Astyanax mexicanus: one gene and its partners. The protein of the gene in region 2 purifies or fractionates together with the protein of the main gene of each other region. This does not show direct contact. Links are inferred from orthologs where the notes say so. Each region holds a gene or a part of one and is shown on either strand. Other genes may lie near its edges.

The links. Proteins that work in one complex are often made in the same cells at the same time.
Region 1: the proteins of cdk19 (region 2) and med12 purify together in Homo sapiens (affinity purification with mass spectrometry; 10 studies listed by BioGRID and IntAct, counting the BioPlex papers as one, with this or other methods). This does not show direct contact. The link is inferred for Astyanax mexicanus from reciprocal best matches to the Homo sapiens genes CDK19 and MED12.
Region 3: the proteins of cdk19 (region 2) and med24 purify together in Homo sapiens (affinity purification with mass spectrometry; 6 studies listed by BioGRID and IntAct, counting the BioPlex papers as one, with this or other methods). This does not show direct contact. The link is inferred for Astyanax mexicanus from reciprocal best matches to the Homo sapiens genes CDK19 and MED24.

Annotation. Positions count from the first base shown.
Region 1 is NC_064409.1:69,523,123-69,530,102, forward strand, and holds the start of med12 (mediator of RNA polymerase II transcription subunit 12), read left to right. Parts: upstream 1-3,971; 5' UTR 3,972-4,085; coding exon 4,086-4,184; intron 4,185-6,980. UniProt on the Homo sapiens protein: Component of the Mediator complex, a coactivator involved in the regulated transcription of nearly all RNA polymerase II-dependent genes.
Region 2 is NC_064408.1:47,104,160-47,111,265, forward strand, and holds the start of cdk19 (cyclin-dependent kinase 19), read right to left. Parts: upstream 3,025-7,106; 5' UTR 2,872-3,024; coding exon 2,744-2,871; intron 1-2,743. Other genes in the region: amd1 (S-adenosylmethionine decarboxylase proenzyme), read left to right, coding at 4,242-4,351.
Region 3 is NC_064422.1:21,445,761-21,453,586, forward strand, and holds the start of med24 (mediator of RNA polymerase II transcription subunit 24), read right to left. Parts: upstream 3,010-7,826; 5' UTR 2,989-3,009; intron 1,629-2,988; exon of another isoform or gene 1,471-1,628; intron 161-1,470; 5' UTR 160-160; coding exon 30-159; intron 1-29. UniProt on the Homo sapiens protein: Component of the Mediator complex, a coactivator involved in the regulated transcription of nearly all RNA polymerase II-dependent genes.

The DNA of each region.
Region 1 (6,980 bases), on a different chromosome or scaffold from region 2:
ATTAGGTATATCTGTATTTTTAATTTACAACCAATTACAGATGTCAGACCAAAAAAGCTTACTATAATAACATTTAACAAATAAATGTTCTATTGATTATCTCTCTCCAGAGAAAATAGTGCAGGGGCTCATCTGAAATTTGAATATATATATTAGGTCATTAACTGGGTACACTGCTGTTACAATTTTAGCTTTGGGAGTAATAGGACATGATGAATAAAAACAAAAAGCTTGTCGTTTCATATATTCTCCCGTGAATAGCATGAGTTAAAGTCATCAAAAATACATTGTTTAAACAACTTACTTATTAGTCTAATTAGTATTTTTTTTAATCCAAAAGGTTGATATCACCAACCTTTATAGTAGAAAAGGAAGGTGCAACAGGGAAGGATTTAATACTATTTTGAACCAGCTGAAGTAAGGGAATAGGAACTGCTTTACAAATGTATCATACCCCTTGCTGGAGACAATTTTATACATTTCAGTACATTTTTCCATGGATAAAATGACCACCTGAATTTGATATGTTGAGAACAAAAGTTGTCGGCTCTAATGCTGCCGTATTACGACTTTATTCTCAAATTATTACGACTTTATTCTCCTAATATTAGACTTTACTCTTGCAGTGAACTGTTTTGATGCCCTAATGTCTTTTGTTGCTGTGTTTTCCAGTGCAGTGGGCGGAGCTAAGGTAAACTACCACGGTAAAGTTAGTTTCATTTTTGATATTCGACTTTTCGGCTCTAATAACTTCTGAACGGAGGATGGTAGCCAGCAGATACTTACATAATCAGGACAGTACGACCACAGAGAGTGACGCACACCCTTCCTTTTACTGTTTGGGTGAAATTTGCGCAACGCCCTTTTAGCGTTAATACCGAAAAACTAAGCGCACTTTTCCTGTCAGAATAAAATGCATGTACTTCTAGACCACCTCTACTTCTGTACACACTCATTTATTTACCTCCAAATCACTTCAGTGCATAAAAATGCCTATTAATGTTCCCACATAAGAATAGATGGCTTTAAGAAAAAAAAACACCAATAGCTCCATATCCTTAGGGTTCATACACATCAGAATAACGGGGATGTATACTTTGAGTCATGAGGAAAATTGCACACCCATTAATATTATGCAAAATGCTCTAATTTTTTATTATATTTTATATATTCACAAATTCAATAGCATTTCAGCAACTGTGTATGTCACAGCTAGGTGGCAGCAGACACGCACACCATTTATATTTTGGATACAGTGCCAATTCTAGTGAATATTACATTTTATATATTTGAAAAATCAATAGAATTTAAACCGAATTACACAGAACACTAAAAATAAGTGTGTATGATACAGCTAGGTGTCAGGAAACACAAACAATCTTTGAAATTTGGATACATTGCCAATTCTACTAATTATTAAATTATATACATTTTAAAATGTAATAGCTTTCAAACCGAATTACACAGAACAATAAAAACAAGTGTGTATGATACAGCTAGGTGGCAACAAACACACACACGCTTTATATTTATGATACACTGCCAATTCTACGAATGATTAAATTTTATATATTTTAAAATGTAGTAGCTTTCAAACCAAATCACACAGAATAATAAAAACAAGTGTGTATGATACAGCTAGGTGGCAGCAGACACACACACCATTTATATTTTGGATACAGTGCCAATTCTAGTGAATATTACATTTTATATATTTTAAAATTCAATAGCTTTTACACCAAATCACACAGAACAATAAAAACTAGTGTGTATGATACAGCTAGGTGGCAACAAACACACACACACACTTTAAAATTTGGATACATTGCCAATTCTATTAATTATTAAATTTTATATATTTTAAAATGCAATAGCTTTCAAACCGAATTACACAGAACAATAAAAACAAGTGTGTATGATACAGCTAGGTGGAAACAAACACACACACACTCTTTAAAATTTGGATACATTGCCAATTCTATTAATTATTAAATTTTATATATTTTAAAATTCAATAGCTTTACACCAAATCACACAGAACAATAAAACTAGTGTGTATGATACAGCTAGCTGTAGCATACACACTTGTTTTTATTATTCTGTGTAATTGAGTTTAAAAGCTATTGAATTTTAAAATATATATATAATTTAATAATATGTAGAATTGGCACTGTATCATAAATATAAAGCATGTGTGTTTGTTGCCACCTAACTCTATCATACACACTTATTTTTAGTGTTCTGTGTAATTCGGTTTAAATTCTATTGATTTTTTAAATATATAAAATGTGATATTCACTAGAATTGGCACTGTATCCAAAATATAAATGGTGTGTGTGTCTGCTGCCACCTAGCTGTATCATACACACTTGTTTTTATTATTCTGTGTGATTCGGTTTGAAAGCTACTACATTTTAAAATATATAAAATTTAATAATTCGTAGAATTGGCAGTGTATCATAAATATAAAGCATGTGTGTGTTTGTTGCCACCTAACTCTATCATACACACTTGTTTTTATTGTTCTGTGTAATTCGGTTTGAAAGCTATTACATTTTAAAATGTATATAATTTAATAATTAGTAGAATTGGCAATGTATCCAAATTTCAAAGATTGCGTGTGTTTCCTGACACCTAGCTGTATCATACTTATTTTTAGTGTTCTGTGTAATTCGGTTTAAATTCTATTGATTTTTTAAATATATAAAATGTAATATTCACTAGAATTGGCACTGTATCCAAAATATAAATGATGTGCGTGTCTGCTGCCACCTAGCTGTGACATACACAGTTGCTGAAATGCTATTGAATTTGTGAATATATAAAATATAATAAAAATTTTGAGCATTTTGCATAATATTAATGGGTGTGCAATTTTCCTCATGACTCAAAGTATACATCCCCGTTATTCTGATGTGTATGAACCCTAAGGATATGGAGCTATTGGTGTTTTTTTTTTTCTTAAAGCCATCTATTCTTATGTGGGAACATTAATAGGCATTTTTATGCACTGAAGTGATTTGGAGGTAAATAAATGAGTGTGTACAGAAGTAGAGGTGGTCTAGAAGTACATGCATTTTATTCTGACAGGAAAAGTGCGCTTAGTTTTTCGGTATTAACGCTAAAAGGGCGTTGCGCAAATTTCACCCAAACAGTAAAAGGAAGGGTGTGCGTCACTCTCTGTGGTCGTACTGTCCTGATTATGTAAGTATCTGCTGGCTACCATCCTCCGTTCAGAAGTTATTAGAGCCGAAAAGTCGAATATCAAAAATGAAACTAACTTTACCGTGGTTCAAAAACTGTGCAACAAAACATGATATATCTTTAAAAAATATATATCTTTTGTAATATAAGATATCTTTGTAATGGACGCAGGGTCTGAAAGGGTTACATTTACAATGTAGAAAATTACAAAAAAAGAAAGAAAGACTTTTGACTGGTACTATAGTTTACTATAGGTATACTAGTAAACTATTTTTGTGGTGTTCTGTCGAGTTGTGCTACCTTGTCAAACCTTGCTACCATAGTAGTATTTAAGGTAAAAAAAAGCACCAAATTAAACCATACTAGAGAATACTCCCAGCTGATAGGTAGGATAGATAGGTAGGATAGCTGATAGGTAGGATAGACGTGGTAGGCTAAATCACTGTATCAGGCAGGGTTAAAAAATAAAGTAATTTACGTGATTAGAACCCTATTTTTTTGTTTTATAGCTTATGATTATTTTTTTACTTACCGTTAATATTTTTTTACTGCTATTAAAAGTTTTAAAACATTAAATCAAGTTGTTTAATACTCCCAATAAAAACGTAATGAATTACATTACAAAAAAAATGAAAAATGTCCGTAAAAAAAGCACATATCTATGGATAGCATAACTCGACACAACACCCGGCTTTTAAACCTTCCGATTTAAATCCATATCAGGGTCTTTTAATTTGCCGGGTGTTTTCCCACAGTTCCGCTGGCTGTTGATTGGAGCGGGGCAGGGAGCGGAGCGTCGCTGGCTGTAAGCCGCTGTCGGGTATCGCTCGGTCGGATCGGGGACGGACGGACTCGGCCCGGGCTGCTATGCGGCTGGGACCATGGCGGCCTTCGGGATGTTGAGTTACGAGCACCGGCCCCTGAAGCGACCCAGACTCGGCCCTCCCGACGTTTATCCCCAGGACCCGAAGCAGAAAGAGGTCAGAGCCCGTCTTTACACACAGAGTCAGTCCACAAAGAGCCGGAGCGCTAGCCGGAGAGCTACGCTAACCTAGCTAACCGAGCACCACCAAACCCCCGGGCCTTCAGCAGCGCCCGCTAACCCGCAACAATACCGGCCTAACCGGGCTAAACCCGACCCGCCCGGTCCGCCACAGAGCCCGGCAGCAGGCTGAGATATAGCCCTGCCTGTGTAGCAGCGCTGTGTTCACTTTATATAAATAAAAACACGAACTGGACAATAATAAACTGCTCAGAAACAGAGCTGCTAACTTACTGCAATCCTGAGCGTTTTCCTACTCAACCCCCATCCAAATAAAATACCGAGGAAAAGAGATTAATATAAGGAGATTTGGGTGTTTCAGAAACGGCTAAAGTGCTTAAAATTATTAGGAAATTGACGTTAAAAACGAAATTTAATTCTGTGTCAGTTAACGCTGGCTGAGCTATCTGGGTTAGCTCGTTAGCTGAAATCTGTCGGCTGCTGTTTGTTGACAAGTCGTATCTAGGTTAGCTAACAGCTAGCTAACAGTAACTTGCTCACTGGCTATCTAACATAATTGATCTAATTTACACAAAGCTAAGCTAACATGCTTATATTATGTTTTTATATCGAAAACAACCGTAAACACAACGTTATATAAATCATATAATCCAAAGTTAGCACGCAGAGTGTGCAGTGGTAATATAACATTCCAGCAGGAACACCAAAAAATGCAAGTTGGTCTCGTTAAGTTTCCGTTTGTCTTCACTATATCCAGTGCTTCTAATTTGGCACTGTGCTGCTAAGCCTAAATGTTTGGTTAACCTAGACAAGTTTGCATTTTATTGGTGCAGCTTGAATCTCTAGGAGACCATCTTTAATGTGTCTGATTATCACATTAAAATCATGTCCAATTCATTCCTATATCTCGTATTCTTAAAGCCTATTGTGCCATTTTACAGAGATGGAGATGTAGCTAGCTAAGAAACAATACAGAAAATAAACATAGCGTTATATATATATCATATAATCCAAAATAATCCAAAGTAATAACTCACTACAGTTTAGAAATATACAACAAAATACAGTTATACAATCCCAGCAGGAATACCAACAAATGCAATTTGATCTCAGTAAGTTTTTATTTGTTTATTTATTCAATACTTCAAATTCGGCACTTTGCTGCTGAGCCTAAATGTTGGGTTGAGTTTCCATTTTTGGAGATCTTTGCCAGTGTTCTATTGGTGTGCAGATTGAATGGGTCTGATTATCACATTAAAAGTCAAGTCCATTTGATTCCTTTACCGGTCTTATAGCCTAACTAATGTGCACAGAGCAACAGAGATTTAGATTTAGGAAAAAAGAAGTGAAAGAAAAGAAACCTATAAAGCATAAGTGTTATAACATTTATTATTTTTAGTTTTATTTTTAAATTTTACATTTTTTTTAACTGAACTCTTTTTAATTCTATGTATTTTTTTATTGTCATTTTTTCCTTAATGTAATACTTGTTAACAGATTGTGATTGTTAAGTGTCAGAGGTGTTGCTCTCACCAAGTCAAGTTTGATCTTGTTCAGTTTCTGTTTTTTTGGAGATATGTGCTGGTGGTCTGTTGGTGTGCAGCTTTGAAGTGTCTGTGTGATCATGTATCTAACTAGCTTCTTGACTAACTGGATAATTATATAGGTTATATTACATTTATTATTTCAAACCATTTGTGTAGTTATGCAGTACTTCTTATCTGGCATTGTGCTGCGTGCTGAGGGTTAAATGTGCAAAACTTTTGAACATGCATTCATGCTGGTGGTGTGTTGATGCTTTAGTGCATCCATTAAGTTAATAGTTAAGTCTATTTTATTTACTGAGATTCAGATGTTGACAAACAATATTTTAAATGTGTTATCCAGAGTAAACAACCCAAAATGAGCAGTGGTAATGAACAACTCCCTTCAAGATGCATAAACACTAGGAATGCTGCGAAATTATTTATTTTGCATGTAACTGAACATAATGGAAACATGATCAAATAAAATGTTGTTTCAAAAATATTTATTGAACACTGAACAGTTTTGACATGTCATATTAAATTGACTTGTGTGATCAGATAGGTCTATGCATTGGTAATAAATACCCATCTAAAATCATTATCGAACATGAAAGACACTATAGACATTTTAGGTTAGTTTGTCTAATTGTGTGTATGACTAATGTGTTTGTTGACAAGTTGTGGCTACCTGACTACCTTTTTGCCTACTGTGCTATACTACACTACTGGTATTATTACTATTATTTGACACACAGTATGTTTGTTCATGCAGTACTACTAAATTTAAGGGCTTCTGAATGCAAATACTGTGTTAAATATGCTTATTTTTTGGAAATACATGACAGTGGTCTGTTGGTATGCATCTTGAATAATTGTATACCCTCACAATCTTAAGTGTGACTGTGGTGTCACTCTGAAAGTCAAATATTTTTTTTTGTAAAGCTCCTTTTGCAATTTAATATTCCTATGAAGTGGCTTCTCAGAGATTCACGTTTAAAACGACAGAATGAAGACCAAATGTGGAAGTGGTTAGGAATAGCTCCCTAAAAACTGCATAAATACCAAGACATTTTAGACCCATTATACATGTTTTATACGACAAAACGTTTTAAGATCTGTAGGTGGTCTGGATTGGAGTCTGGAAGACCATCCTGAGAGTCTTTCATGCTTACCTTGTTTGTTCCAGAGTTTTCAGTTTGGTTTGAAAGCAGATGTGAAAGGGGCTGCGAACCACAGTCCAGACCAAA
Region 2 (7,106 bases):
TTTATCGTCTTTTTAAACAACAGTTGTCATTTTAGTCATCGCATACATTTGATCCGAAAGCCTGAAACATCTAGAAACGTGTTTTCACAATGTAGACGATCCACCTTTTCTGGACTGGTCCTTTGGTTGTTCACACCTGATATTTTTGTTTGGACCAAACTGAGAAGTCCAAAAGCCCAGGCCAAACAGGGCAAGTGTGAAAGCACTTTAAGGTCACTTTAAGAAGGACCAAACTGTGATTGCCAGATGATTTGGTCAGAACATCTCCAAAACAGCAGGTAGACCTTGTGGATTGTTGCCAGCAGGAAGTGGTCAGCACCTACCATATGTGCTCTAAGGAAGGACAATCAGTGAACCAAGGACTAAAAAGAGATCCTGCTAATGTTAGTCTTTGTGCTAAACACCTTGGTGCAGAACACCTACAGAGGTCTTGTACAGTGAATGCTCTTATGGGTCAGACATGTTTTTAGAGGAATGATGGGGGGCCTACACAATATTAAACAGGTGCTTTTAATTATATGACCAATTGATGTATATCAGAATCATTGGAATTTTCAGATTTTGATATGTCTGAATGTTTGTAAACACTGTTTCTAAATAATGCATCCTTTGCCGTCACAGCAAATGCAGACACAGTCTAGTCCATGTAAAGAACTACTGCCAATGGAATAGGACTGTTTATCTGGAGCCGATAAAAATGAACCTGTTGGCATCATGTCATATCATGTCAAGTGTGAGCTCATCTCCATATAGTACTTTAAGGATGAGGTGGGGAGCTGTGGATGGAGTAGACTGGTGATCATCCAACCTCAGGTCAATACTGCTCTTGCTGCTGAATGCACTCCAAAATTTAGTAGATAGCTTTCCCTGCACAGTAGAGACAATTACTCCAAAAAACGCTAAATTTAATTTTAGAAGAAACAATAAAGTAGCAGGTGTCCCAATACTTTTGTCCATATAGTGCATTTACATGAAATATAGCAGATAACTTTATCAGCCTTAGACATCTCAGTGTATGTATTATTATTTTTAGATGTTTAATATGATGATATTTAAACAGAAACTAGCTGTCTGTTTAAATAACATAAATCTGAGAGTCTAAGAGAGAGAAAAGAACATCTTCAGAGGGGGTTTACAATTAATGGGCTTCTAATGTTAGTTTTTAAAATGTTGCATTTATTTGGAATCTGCTTTGTACACATTATGGTTATAATTAGTTAAGTAACATGTAATTACTATCTGAGTTTCATTTAACTAGGTTTATGTTACACTAGTGTCATCACCAGAATGGCTGTGTGGTTAGTAGGTACATCTCTGACAGTAGATACACCTTCCCTGCACAAAAGAGAGAATGTTACTTCAGCAAAAGCTAGAATAACTCTTTTAAATACCCATGATTTTGGAAGAAACAATAAATAATTGAATGCTTGATTCAATATAATGTGTTTTCTTGAGTATGTGTATTGGACACTCTAAAACTGTACAAAAGAGGTTTTCAAACTTTTCCACATCACGACCCACCTGTGTAAAAAGCATAACTACCCACAAGATAACAAAACAAAAGCTTTTTGACAATCTCTCTATAGATGTTCTGAACAGGTCATCTAGCCATCACAGCTCAGTCCTTCTTAAAGTGACTTGCCAGTTTGGTCCAAACAAAAATAGCAGATTTAAGGAACCAAAGGACCCGCAAAAAAGGTAGTCTTGGTCCAGATCTACTAAACCATGGCCCAGTTCATCTTGAATTGTAAATCTTTTTGAACCTCTCTACAAGGGTTTGGTAGGTCACCCCTGAACTAGACAGTATTATGATCCATTTAGCTATTCCAGTGAATACTGAATGACAGCATCTGGACACATCAGTAGTTATAACATGTTCTAACACTGCTGCTGAGTTTAGACTTCTAACAGTAACAATGAAACTTCTCTCTCCAGCCTGTAGTTATATTACAATCAGATAATTCCTGACTAAGGCGCTGTCACTATGATCAGGAGATTGCTGGTTCGAATCCTGTTTATGCAGCTTGCTATCGGCTACCGGAGCCCTGAGAGAGCACAACTGACCTTGCTCTCTCTGGGTGGGTATTTGCACTTTCTCCCCACATCACTTCAAGGGGTGATGTCCGCAGCACAAGGCGTCTTTGAGATGATGTATCGGACAAAAATAGAAATAAAATTTAAAAATTAAAAAATCAGATAATTCCGGTCACACTTTAAAGACGTTAAGTCCTGCTTTTGACACCAAGACTGGTGCTTTTTCTTATTTCTTACTAAAGCAGCTCGAGTATTGCACATTTAGACAAGTGATAACTCAAAGCCTGAGCCTGAGACTGTCCAATAAGAGCGAGGCAGGGATCACTCCTATTGGACAGCCTTGTGAGGCATGAATGCTCCAACTCCAGAGTAAAACCCTGCGTTGTAAAACAGCTTCACGTGCAGAGAGACAGTCATCCCCTCTGAGCTGTAGTGTATTTCACTTCACGTTCACACTGTAAAATAAACAGCAGCAGCGCGGTGTCGTTCTGGGGGGAGGACCGTTTTGTGTGTGTGTGTTTATAGATGTGCGTGCGCGCGCGCGTGTGTGTGTATAAAAACAAAACCAGTCCCAGACTCGAGCTCGGTTTCTTACACCCCCCACCACACACACACACACACTCGCCTCCGCGCTTCTCCTCGCGAAGGAGAAAGTGCGCGTGGAGCGGAGAAATGAGTGAAAGCAGGCCGTTTTAGCTCGCTGTCTTACCCGTCTTTGCGCTTGGCTTTATAAACATGCCCGTAGGTGCCGCGACCCACTTTGCAACCTTCATATTCGAACAGATCCTCCACTCTCTCCCTCTCCGCGGCGAGCTTCGTTTTGAAGTCGTAGTCCATCGCGACCCATAAATACTTCTTAATTTAGGATAAAATAAAATATTAATTATTACGTGCATTAATTAAATAATCTGATCGCTTTATTCCCCCACCATTTCCTTGTTTGGGATTTTGGTCTGCTCCGCTTAATGTTCACTGGCTCGTTGAGCGTTTTTTTGCTGGTGCGAAACGCTTTCTGGGAAATGTAGTCTTCCCGCAGCAGGAGGCCCGCCGAGCGCCGTGAGATCAGCGCGCTGCGGGAACTACAATCCGCACAGCACGCCGCGGTGATCGCACTTGCGTAGTCATGTTCGCGCTCTCAGAAAAAAAAAACATTGCAGGGACGGGAGAGAATTCATATTGCATATCGTATGTTTTATTTGTTTTTTTGCTCACATGCGCCGAACCCTTAAACTGAGACAATAAAACTAAGACAATGGAATGGAAACCATTCCCTATAATGCTATTTAATGTGATAAAAAAAACTGTTCAGCCACTCTTTGCAGTAAAACTACACAAAAGACTGTATTTATATATGACTGTCATAACATTATAAATAAGAATTTTCGAGTTTACCCAGGGGAATTATATTGCGCATTTTTTGTAAATAAAAAATGCCTTTTCTGGATTTACATTCCCTTTTTTCTGTGTCTACGTGAAAAACAGTCTTGTGTTTGTGTTTTAAACTGTCCTTTTACTCTTATCAACGCTGCTTGCCTTTTTTATGCGTCTGCATCACTCGAAATGATTCCCATGATTCTTTTGTAGGATATGCGCAGTATTTATGTGTGTGTAATATAACCTAAGGTTAGGACAATACAAAAATACCTTTAATACTTTTTAAGCTAGAATTGGACTGCTAAAATTGTGCCGTATTAATTGAAGTACGTTAAAATCAACTGAATCGGTTCTTTTGAGTGGACTGTTTTGTTGAATCGGTTAACTACTTCACTGAATCAAACTTCTTCACTGCGCTGTCAGAACTGCAGCCCGCCTTGAGAAGACGCCTTTACGCAACGCTTGTCCTCGGAGTGGCAGAAACCTTGGCCAATCCTATGCGGGCTAAGGGCGGGACTTTATGTATGATTGGTCTGTCTTATTTTTTACGTCAGCGGCTAGGTTATAAAAGCTCCGCGCACCCAGTAGTCCGCGCTTACACAGTATGGCCGGCGATATTAGCTAGCACTCGCTCACGGTGTTCTCTGTAAAAGGGGAAGACGGTAAAAATCATTTAAAGCATCCCAAGAAATCAACACCCGGACTGCTCAAGGACTGTACCAAGATCTCTATAAGTTATCTACCCAGCAAAAAGGACTTTAATAAGCTAGACCCGAGCTAGGTTTATTTTTTTTTATTTTTTTTTCTGTTGTTGGTGTCTTGTTTGTCTCACGATGGAGGACAACGGTGCACACTTCTTTGAGGGGACCGAGAAGCTGCTGGAGGTGTGGTTCTCCCGGCAGGACGAGACCAAAGGAACCGGGGACCTCCGCACCATCCCGAGGTTTGGGGGCGAATTCTCTAAAGCGAGATGTGTGGATGAAGCTAGATAACCAGATAGATCTGTGGGTTAGCTGAGGAGCTGGGTTAATGCTCTAGGCTTTGGCACGCGTGTCAGTCAGCTCATATAAAATAGACATAAAACTGAACAGTATGATTCTGTTAAAAGGTTGGTTTGGTGATTTAGATGATCAGATAGCTGGCTAACTTGTGCGTATCTCTCTGTGTCTCTCTGCTGTGGCTCAGTATGGCAGCGTCCCTCCCCCTCCCTCCAGTCAGTCAGTCAGTCACTCATTCATTTGTGCTGCAGTAACGACGGAGCAAATAGCTCCAGCCCTGATCAGCTCAGCCTCGCTTTAATCAGCGCTCTGATCTGATCACTGATACCCTAAACTACTAAAGAGTAGTCTGTGCTGGTTTTATAACTATCTTCTTATAACTATCTTCAATGACAATGAAAAAAAAATGTTAGCTAAGCTCGCTACGGCTCTCATTTCACTACGCAGTTCTATCCGAACCTCCCCTTTAACACGGGTTTGGCCTTATTTATCCTAATTTAATTACAAAATTCTAAATGTAAAAAAATGCCAGATCAACGTACATAGCTAAGTTTGTCTAGCTACCCTGGAAATTGTGCGGTTGCTAGGTTAGTTAGCTAGCGACAAGCTAACGCTAATACAGTATGGCGCGAGCCATTAGCGTTAGCCACCAGGCTAACTAGCTGCTCTGTTTGCACTGACGTAGCTAAGCTAAGCGAGCTAACCTAACCTGCACCCAATACTCTTAACAGGCAGCATAACTACAACACATGCTCCATTTGTCTCTCTAGAGGTTTATCATCAGAAAAATAACGCAGAGGAGTTTTATATTTAGAGGGGTGAAGAGGTGCTGCGCTCCATAATCTGTGTTGAGTGAAACGTGGGCCCTGTGGAGCATGTGGTGGTGGTGGTGGCGCCCTGCTGCCTCGGCTGAAGCCCCCCCAGTTTTAGTCTCAAATGACAGACTCTGACACTCAGATATTAACTCAGACATGTTAAAACATGTAATAAAGAACATTTAGGTATTTTATGTCGTTTTTTACTAGAAGCGACTCTATTACAGAGATAAGCTATGGAATGTTAAACATTAAAAATTAGCTAGTAATTTAATTCTGACTAGGCATGTTCTACCATCCGTTTCGAACTAAAATTTCACTCTTTTAGTAGTTAGAAGAGAAGTTACAATTATATGTAATTACTCATTGGCTGGTAAGAGTTGTAATTCCAGATATCTCCACTGTAGGTAAATTCTGTCTGGTAAAAAAGTCCAGGTTCACATATTTGTAAATTTATTCTGACTAGAACAAATGCTAATTCAAAATATATATAATGTTTTGGCTAGAACTGTATTTCAGATATGTGTTTAAATCTCTATAATATAAATAGATAAATATGTACTAATTAAAAAATTTACTTGTACTATAATAAATTTAATGTTATTGATGTTAAAATCTATAGTTTTGCTATTTCAGACAGAGTGCAATTTCATGCAAGTTAATTGTAACATATGACCAGTCAAATTTACACTCGGGGTATGTCATCTTGGCAAAATGGCTACTCAGAATGGCCTCAGATCTGGAGACCTGATGTTACTGCTAAAAAAAATAGCAGATAAAACTTGCAATAAAGACGTATGCAATTTAAGGTTTTACCAGTAAAAAATGAATTACAACTAGCACAATACAAAAGCAAAACAGACGCATAAAAAGTGACAAACATTACGTAGCAAAAGATAATCTGAAATGTATTACAGAGAGTTAAAGAAGTGCTGGGGTGAAAAAGAACTGGAGAGACACTGCCGCAGTGCCAACCTGTCACACAGACGATTTACAGCACCTGCAGTAGCCTGGCTAATACCCAAGAGTTGAGAGAATGCTTTCCAAATGAATGAAACTCACCTTAAAATGAGTGTTAAAACTGTAAGACGGATCTCAAAATGTGTGTTAATGTCATATATTGCTCATAGAGCTTCTAATCATTTCAGTACAAATAGTGTATAGTCATATAGAGCCACGATCAAGGCTCAACCGACCTGAATGTTTGTCGAGTTATATTCTTTACCCTTTGTAAATGTCTGTTTGGGGTTAAATTGAAAAATATGTTTAAAAAATGTTTTTTATACAATGATAAAACATCTGAATCTTAAAATGTGCATTTGCAGTGTGCAATGTCATTTCACACAGAAGTGAAGTATGTAACATTAGGTGCTTACAAAATAGTTTCTCAGAAGGAGCTTTAAAGAAAGTCAGTTTCACAGAATAATATGATTGAGCAAGCTTGAGTTTTTCTTTGATCTAGGTTAACTTAGCTTTACTTGTTTGTCTTTATATTTTTAGCTTTATCTGCTTTTTCCAGTGGTTCCTGACTGCTTGTTTTTAGACTCTAGTGTTTTCTGTTCTGTCAAAGCCTTTATTCAGTGTAACAAGTTTTCCTTGAGGCTAAAATTATGTTTTGATTGGTGTAGAGACTAAATATTGTGCAGTGTGTAACTGCTCTAGGACCAGGGTTTGGAAATACAATGCACTGCGCCATGTGGAAGTCACGTTTTTCCCCTTGTGCCGAGCAAACTCCTCCTTGTGGCCTGATTGGAGGAGCGTGACCTCCAGCTGTGCTCTGACCTCTAAAGACCTGCCCCCTATTCAACAGCATGAAATGTGGTTGTAGGCATGGAGGTGCTGATTCATCTTGTAACGAGCGGAGTTTAGCTGCTGTGGTTCTTGC
Region 3 (7,826 bases), on a different chromosome or scaffold from region 2:
TTTTGGCACTGAAATAATCCTAGTCCCACCTGCCAGGTTGAGGTAATCCCACGTGGCGCCTTTGGGGCAGTTTTTCTTTATGTTGATGGCCCACTGATAGTCGCTCCAGCGCTCCTTCCATGCCTGTAGAATGGCCTGCTTCAGGTTCACCACTTTCATTCTGCAAAGATGTTAGGATTAGGATTAAAAGTTTTAGTCAGTCTTTGTCTCATTCTGGCATTCAACCGTGATAAAATAGATAAAATCAACCGTGTTTAATGTTATCGTAAATCTTGATACTTGGCTCACGCAAATAGTGACGTGAACAATATCAACAACCAATAGGAGAGCTACGGAAGAGGCAAAGCAATAATATTTTACGTAACTGTTTACAAACGACTTGAAAAAGAACACATTCTGCAGTTAAAATACCTTATATTGCTCTAACTTTAATATGTACAGTATTTTAAACACAGGAAGCACTTTAAAGTCATTATATTTACAGTTATTCCATTTTGCACTACTTTGCCTTATTGTGCAGTGTTATTTAATAAATACACATTTAGCAAGAATGATGTTTTGTATTACATTAAATCTATCTAAAACAAAGGAAAATGTAAAACAGGGAAACTGTGTTTCTTAAATATTCAAAGTTGTTGCAAAAAATAGGGGAAAAGAAGCTTATAAGCTTAAACACAAAACAAACACACTAACAGTGCGGCAAAAAAATAAACTTTTGATGGGGACAAAGGTTGTGGGTCTCTGATAACTCACAGTATTGATATACAGATTATTTTTAGATTAATATGTAGTATGTTTTGTATCTAAACTCCAGCAGAAGCATGATGGGAAATGATCTCAGAAACAATCTAGTTGCAGTCTTGTAAATAGTGATCCCCAGTCTTTGCAAAATCTTATCATGTGACTAAAAATCTGTAAAAAGTGAGAGACTTCTCTTTAAATGTGACAGGGTGTCAGACTATGATTTATTTATGTTTATTTTCAGAGTCTTTTCAAAAACTTGTACGTTAGTGTATAGACAGCATAAACAGTATTGTGGGAGTTCATAGTGCCCTCAAAATCACGTTCCAATTTCACTTTACGATTCGGACACGTTCTCAATAGTGACCTAAATGAGAAATATGGAGCATGTTAACGTTAGATATATACCGCTACGTAATAAAAGAAAAATCACACTAAGTAGGAAAATGACTTTCCAGAGTTTATTAATAAAATATCTTTCACACGCAGCGATACCTCAGTGTAATTCTCACTCTAAATACCCCACATTCAACGATACAGTTATTATAATAACATAAATAATCGCAGAACAGTGAGTGTCTCAACATCAACAAACAAACCCACCAACCAGAGGAGCACAGAGAAACACACACCGCGCGCATATATTAACGATTAAACTGATATCTAAACAGCCTTTTATTACCATTATTATCTTCATTATAGTATAAATATAGTACAAGGGTGATTTACCTGATTTTATTCTTTGACTGAAGATTAGATTTAATGTTGCTTTTCAATTCAATCGCTTACCACCGGCGCCATACTGGAAACAGTAACACGCGCTGTGATTGGTCCAGCGCGCTGAGTGTGCTCTAACGCGGTTGGTTGGCTGTGACCGAGCTCGATCAGCAGACAGATGAGCTTGGAATTCAAACTGTTTTTTATTGTTAATTTTTTACATTTTATTAATATATTTTTGTGCGTGCGGAAGGTATGTAGTGGTTTCGCTGAAAGAGACGTATTTTCCCAGGTATGTTCTCTTGATGTAAAAATTCCAAATTGCGCAAAACATCCGGGAATTCCTATTTATTTTTATGTCAATATCAGAGTGAGAGAGAGAGAGAGAGAGAGAGAGAGAGAGAGAGAGAGAGAGAGAGAGAGAGAGAGAGAGAGAGAGAGAAAGAAAGAAAGAAAGAAAGAGCGAGAGAGAGTTTATAATAATGTTGTCTTGAGGCAACAACAGAAAAACACTGTTTTAAAAAACGTAAATAAAAAAAGTCATTTAAAACTTCTAAATAGTTTATTACATATTGATGCATTAATACATATTTGTTTTAGCTATTTAAATGTAAACGTTATATCATATTTATCTTATCGATTGTTTGTGTCCCAAGTAGCTTTGGTTGCTAAAAAGATTATTCCACCTCCACGTAAACCAAATTCTTTAAATTAATCATAAAATCTCTCTCAAAAAGTTGATGTATTTCTTATACACAGCTATAGCCTGTCCTACAGGTCAGGAAGACACTATCTTTAGTGTGAGGCGAAAATGCGGTAAAGGAGAAATGCTGTGTGAACTGGAATTGGGGTGTAGTGAAACATAATAAGAAATACGAACTTTAGTCAAATAGCCCACCTTCGTTCACCCTCGGCATCCTGAAATACTGCGCTTTTAGCCGATGCTTCATTATCAATACCACATAATTGTGATAAAACCGACGTTCTTCTATTACGCCAAAAGCTGCTAAAAAGAAATGATCAGACTGTTAAATCTTGCCAACAAATCTTGGTGTTATCATAGATTCAGATCTAGCATTCGATAAACACATATCTAAGAACAGCTTTCTTGCATCTTTGTAACATTATCAGGCTAAACAATTCTTTATCTTAGCATGACACAGAAACATTAGTACATGCCTTCATTACATCAAGGCTAGACTATTGTTATGAGCTCATATCCTGTTATAAACCACCATGATTATTTAAATCACAGGGTGCTGGTTTACTAGTAGTTCCCAAAATTCAAAGGAGCTTTCGTTTATAAAGCACCCCAACCCCATCATTGTTGGTCTCAGTTTGCCTTCATTAAATATTTTAGGGGTCACCTGACTGTTGTTTGTTACAGCTATGTTTTTGTTTGTTTTATTATTAATTTATTTATTTAACTAAATAGGTTTAAAATTATCCAAATATCCCATAAATAATGTTAAAAGTGTAAAAAAAATAAGACCATTTCAAAACATACAAACTGTAGTTCCTCCTGTTTACCTTTCTAAAAAATAGGAGTTTCAGCCAGAGTGTCAGGCGCGAAGAACTGACCAATTCGAAAGAATGGCGGCAACTCAGTATGTTTTTCTGCCCGGCAGTATTGTGGCCTACTCTGTGATGGGAGCGCTCATGGCGAGTGGTAAAGAGGTGGTAGGCAGAATCCCATCTGAAAAGGTACAGTCAAAACTCCATAAACAAGTCTGTTTTAGGTTGTTGAACAAACCCAAATGCTTGTATGATGCCTGTTGCAGGCTATAAGCTTTCATTACCTCTTAACAACATTATTCTGATACATTCAGTCAATTTAAAACATAAAGAACAATCGTTATTCACTGACTGATAAAACCTACAGCACCTGCGGAAAATTTAGTTTATTTGACTCTTGGGTGACTCTTTCTTGAAGCTTAGAACTATTGGTAGATAAAAAATAAAACTTATAGTAATAATCAGCAGTTTGTTACAGAAGCTTATTGTTTGTGTGAATGTGATAAACAGATAAGATTCATCTTATAGCCTTGATGGCTTTAGTAAAACCACAAAAAGCTGAATGACATTCTTACTGAGCTGTGCTGAAAAGATTCTCTCATATTGCTGGCAAAAGTGAGTAAATTGGTTCTGTCATGATTTCTCGGTTACAAAATTATGATTTAGATCTAAGAATGAATCAGAAAAAGTAAGAATTATATGAACATATATGCAAATGTTTTTTTGTGTGTGTTTCTTTTAAAACCTTTTTGTGGCCACTTCACATTTATGTCCTAGCAATAATAGATCAGTAGAGTTTAAAGACATTGCTGATTTGATAAGAGTGTCCAGATATTACTGGTATTTTTGTTGAAGAGTTTTTCAACTTGTAACCAGATGTAGCTTTGTTGTTAGAATAGGATGGTTTTGGATTGTTTCCTTATTCTGAATCTGGTTCACAATGGTTATTTTAAAAAACGTCCTCATGCAGTGGGTCATTGGGGCCAATGTGACTGTTTAATGTACATATTTGCTGAAGCTAATACATAAACATTTAACAAACAATATACTAATTAGCTATCTCATTATTTAAATGCATGTTTATACGCTCACTAAATGTATCTTTAGTCATTTTTGTTATATTACTGTTGCTGGCTGTCCTCTTTACTGTCCATGTCCTCCTTTCTTTTCTCCTTTACTTTAGTTTGCCAAGCTGGTACCAGAACCTTCCATCTATAGCGGAGACATTCCAGTTTTCCAGAACCATGATTGAAGTCCTGAACACTGACTCTTCCACTCACTGTACCAAAATATCCTAATGAAGGTTCTTCCGGTTCTGAAATGGGCAGCTTCCACTTCCTCCCACCAAACAAGCTGGATTTCTGCTTATCCTGTCTTCCAGTTTTAAAACGCAGATCTTTTTCCCTTAAGGTCTTAAACTTTCTTTTATTTTCAGAGGGTCTTTACTAACGTTTCTATTTGACTAATAGGCCTATGCATTCGCCCTTTCCCAGCTGATGTCCGGAGATTAGTTAGTTTATAAAAATGACACAAACAAAGCACACTTAAAACTTATTAAAATTTAAATTTCTATTTATTTATTTCATGTTCATTAACATTTTGAGTGACAATCATACTTTAATTTGCAAGTATTAGGCAAAGATAGATAGAGCACAAGTCCCCCTCATGGTCTGCATATTGGTGTTTTTCCCAATTACACACTCCTTCAGGGGTTTGATAACTCTATAAGCTGGAAAACTTGGAAAAATGTGAAAACTTGATCCTGGATACCAGGAATTACTGATTGATTCCAAACTGTGTGAAAAGTTTCTAAAACTTTCTGCAAATGTTTATGTAAAGTACTAGGCAGTTTAGGGATATACAAAATGTTTTACGTAAATAATAGATCAGCTTGCAAAAATACAATCTTCATATGAAGTATGCCAAAGCTCTCCTGTAATAGTTATACTATATTTTACATAAAATAATAGCTTTAAAATAATATAATAAAGTCATGTTGGTTCAACAAAATGCATTTGTGGTGGATGGAGAAGAGCTGACTTCAGAAACTTCCAGTCTGGCCAGACAGGGGACATGAGAGCCTGAGGGTCCAAGATCCATCGGTATTGGGTCAGACAGGTGGGCAGTCAGTAACTCGGAGGAAGGCAGAAAGATGGAATTAGTTTTGACTGGATTTATGTAAAACAGAGAATATAAAACATTATCAGAGTGTGGCTAATGTCTCCGGCAGATCTAGAAAGTAACATAGACATGGAGGCATGAATTTTAGGAACTACTAAGAAACCAGCACCCTGAGATCTAAGTAATCGCAGTGGTTCATAATAGGAGATGAGGTCTCGCAAATACTCAGGAGTGAGCCCGTGTAGGGCTTTATACGTTAACAGGAGAATTTTATCGTCCATGCGGAATTTGACTGGAAGCCAGTGCAGTGATGATTGGACTAGATTAATATGCTTACATTTTCTAGTTTTAGTTAGGACCCTGGCTGCAGCATTTTGAACTAGCTGAAGTTTATTTAAGTTACTGCAGGAACATCCAGACAGTAGCGCATTACAATAATCTAGCCTTGAGGTAATAAAGACATGTACTAATGTTTCTGCGTCATGCAGTGATAGGGCATTTCTTAGCTTGGCAATATTACGGAGGTGTAGAAAAGCTGTTCTAGCAACATTAAATATGTTGTTTATCGAATGCTAGATCTGAATCTATAATAACTCCAAGGTTTTTAGCTGCTGAACCAGGTGTGATGGAGAAGTCGGCCAGATTTAGCATTAAGTCTGATCATTTATTTCTAGCAGCTTTGGGCATATTAGGAGAACTTCTGTTTTATCACTATTTAATAGGAGGAAGTTGTGCGACATCCATGATTTTCTTTAATCTCACTCTGTCATCAGGTTTGGCTGAAATGAAGAGCTGCGTTTCATCCGCATAACAATGAAAATTTAAGGTAAGAGCAAAGTAGTTGGGCCACAGCTTTTTCTAAAATCTTAGAAATAAACAGTAAGTTTGAAATAGGTCTATAGTTAGACAGTACACTAGGATCAAGATTTGGTTTCTTGATCAGAGGTTTAATTACAGCTATTTTAAAGGCTTTGGGTACATGGCCTAGGGTGAGCGATGAGTTTACTATTATTAACAGAGGTTTAATTATATCTGGTAGTACCTGTTTTAGTAATTTTGTGGGAACTGCATCAAGTGTGCAGGTTGAGCTGTTTGAAGAGGAGATGATTTTCTCTAGTTCTAGCTGTGGAATGGGTTAAAGGCTTCCAACCTAACTTCCGTAACAGGGTTTTGTTCTAGATCAGCCGCATCAGATGACAGAGAGAAAGTGCTGTTTATCTGTTTAATTTTATCCCGATGTTTTCAATTTTACTATCGAAGAAGTCCATAAAAGCGTTGCTGGTGTGAATGGCTGGGGTCTGAGGTTCAGTACCTGTCTGTTTTTTAGTTAATTTGGAAATAACACTAAAGAGAGCTCTAGGATTATATTAGCTCTATGGTTTTATTAAGTTCTTTTCTATATTTAACAAGACGGTCTTTCCACGCAGAGTGAAAATATTCTCTAAATTTCGTACTAACTGCTTTGACGTACGAGTTTGATCATTGTACCACGGTGCGAGCTTTTTCTGTCTCTCTATTTTATGTTTAAGGGATGTACGTATATTATGACTAAGATGCTATTTAAATGAAATAAGGTAATGATCTGAAATTGCGGAGGTTTGAGAACGAATGTTCAGGTGTATCCAGCTAAGCAGCGGAGCGCGTTTATACCTCGTATCCGCGGCTCTGCTTCGCTCTGCAGTTTAAACTTCTACAGATTCTACAGTAGTAATTATCTTCCACGCAGTCTGGCTGTATTTATAAATAATTGATCTAGTGTTCGTGTTTGAAGCTCTTTCTGAAATGAACAGAGGAGCTTTATTTATTTAGTTAGTTAGTTTAACAAGGTATATCTGGATATCTATCTTAATTTATTATGTTTACAAACCACAGAGCAAACCGTGGTTAAAGTGAGGATTTCTACACCGTTTAAGTGATATTACATGGCCACAGTGGTGAGGTAAATGCCCTCTTTCAGCTGTTTAACCCTGCGTTCACACTGGAAAGCGACAAAGCGACAGGCGACCATTCATTTCCTATGGCAGGGCGCGATTTGTCGCCGCGACACGCGAGAGGCGACAAGCGACAAAGCGACAGAGCGACAAGCGACACGGAGATGAATTTTTCTCAACTTTATGCAAATGAGTTATGACGCGGTGAAGCGACATTCTAACCCGATTGGCTCCTAGCTTTTCTTTGGACCAATCACAAACAAGGCGGTTCGACGTCCTCAAGCTCCTGCTCTCTGAATTTCTAGTTTCTTTCCCGGTTCTTTCTGTTGAACGGGGTGGACCCACATCAGTCTGTGGGAACGGCTGCGTTTCCAGCGCAGTTAAATCACAGAAACGCACAAGAGTCCAGCAAGTTTGGGAGTTATAGCTGGAGAATAAAGTGGCCAAGTGATTCCTTTTTTGTGCCTTTTTTCTTGTTGGAGGCTGGACCATGATAAACGCGGGCGTTGAGCTTGACACGCCCACAAGCGACAAACGCTGGGCGACACAAGCGACTCGTCGCGTTCCAGTGTGAACGCAGGGTTACACTCACCTACTCGAGAGGAGCAGCGGAGGGGGCTGTGACTCGCGTTGAGCGGCTCTGAGCCGTGAGGCGCTACCTGTCACGTGATCTTCGGAGCGTGATGTGATTGGCTGGTTGTTGGCTCGATTGAAGACTGAATCGATTGCTCATCCTGTGTGTCCCGGATGTTGACAGCGAATTTTGAGCGTTGTATTTTAGCAGTCGAATTTGACAGGTCG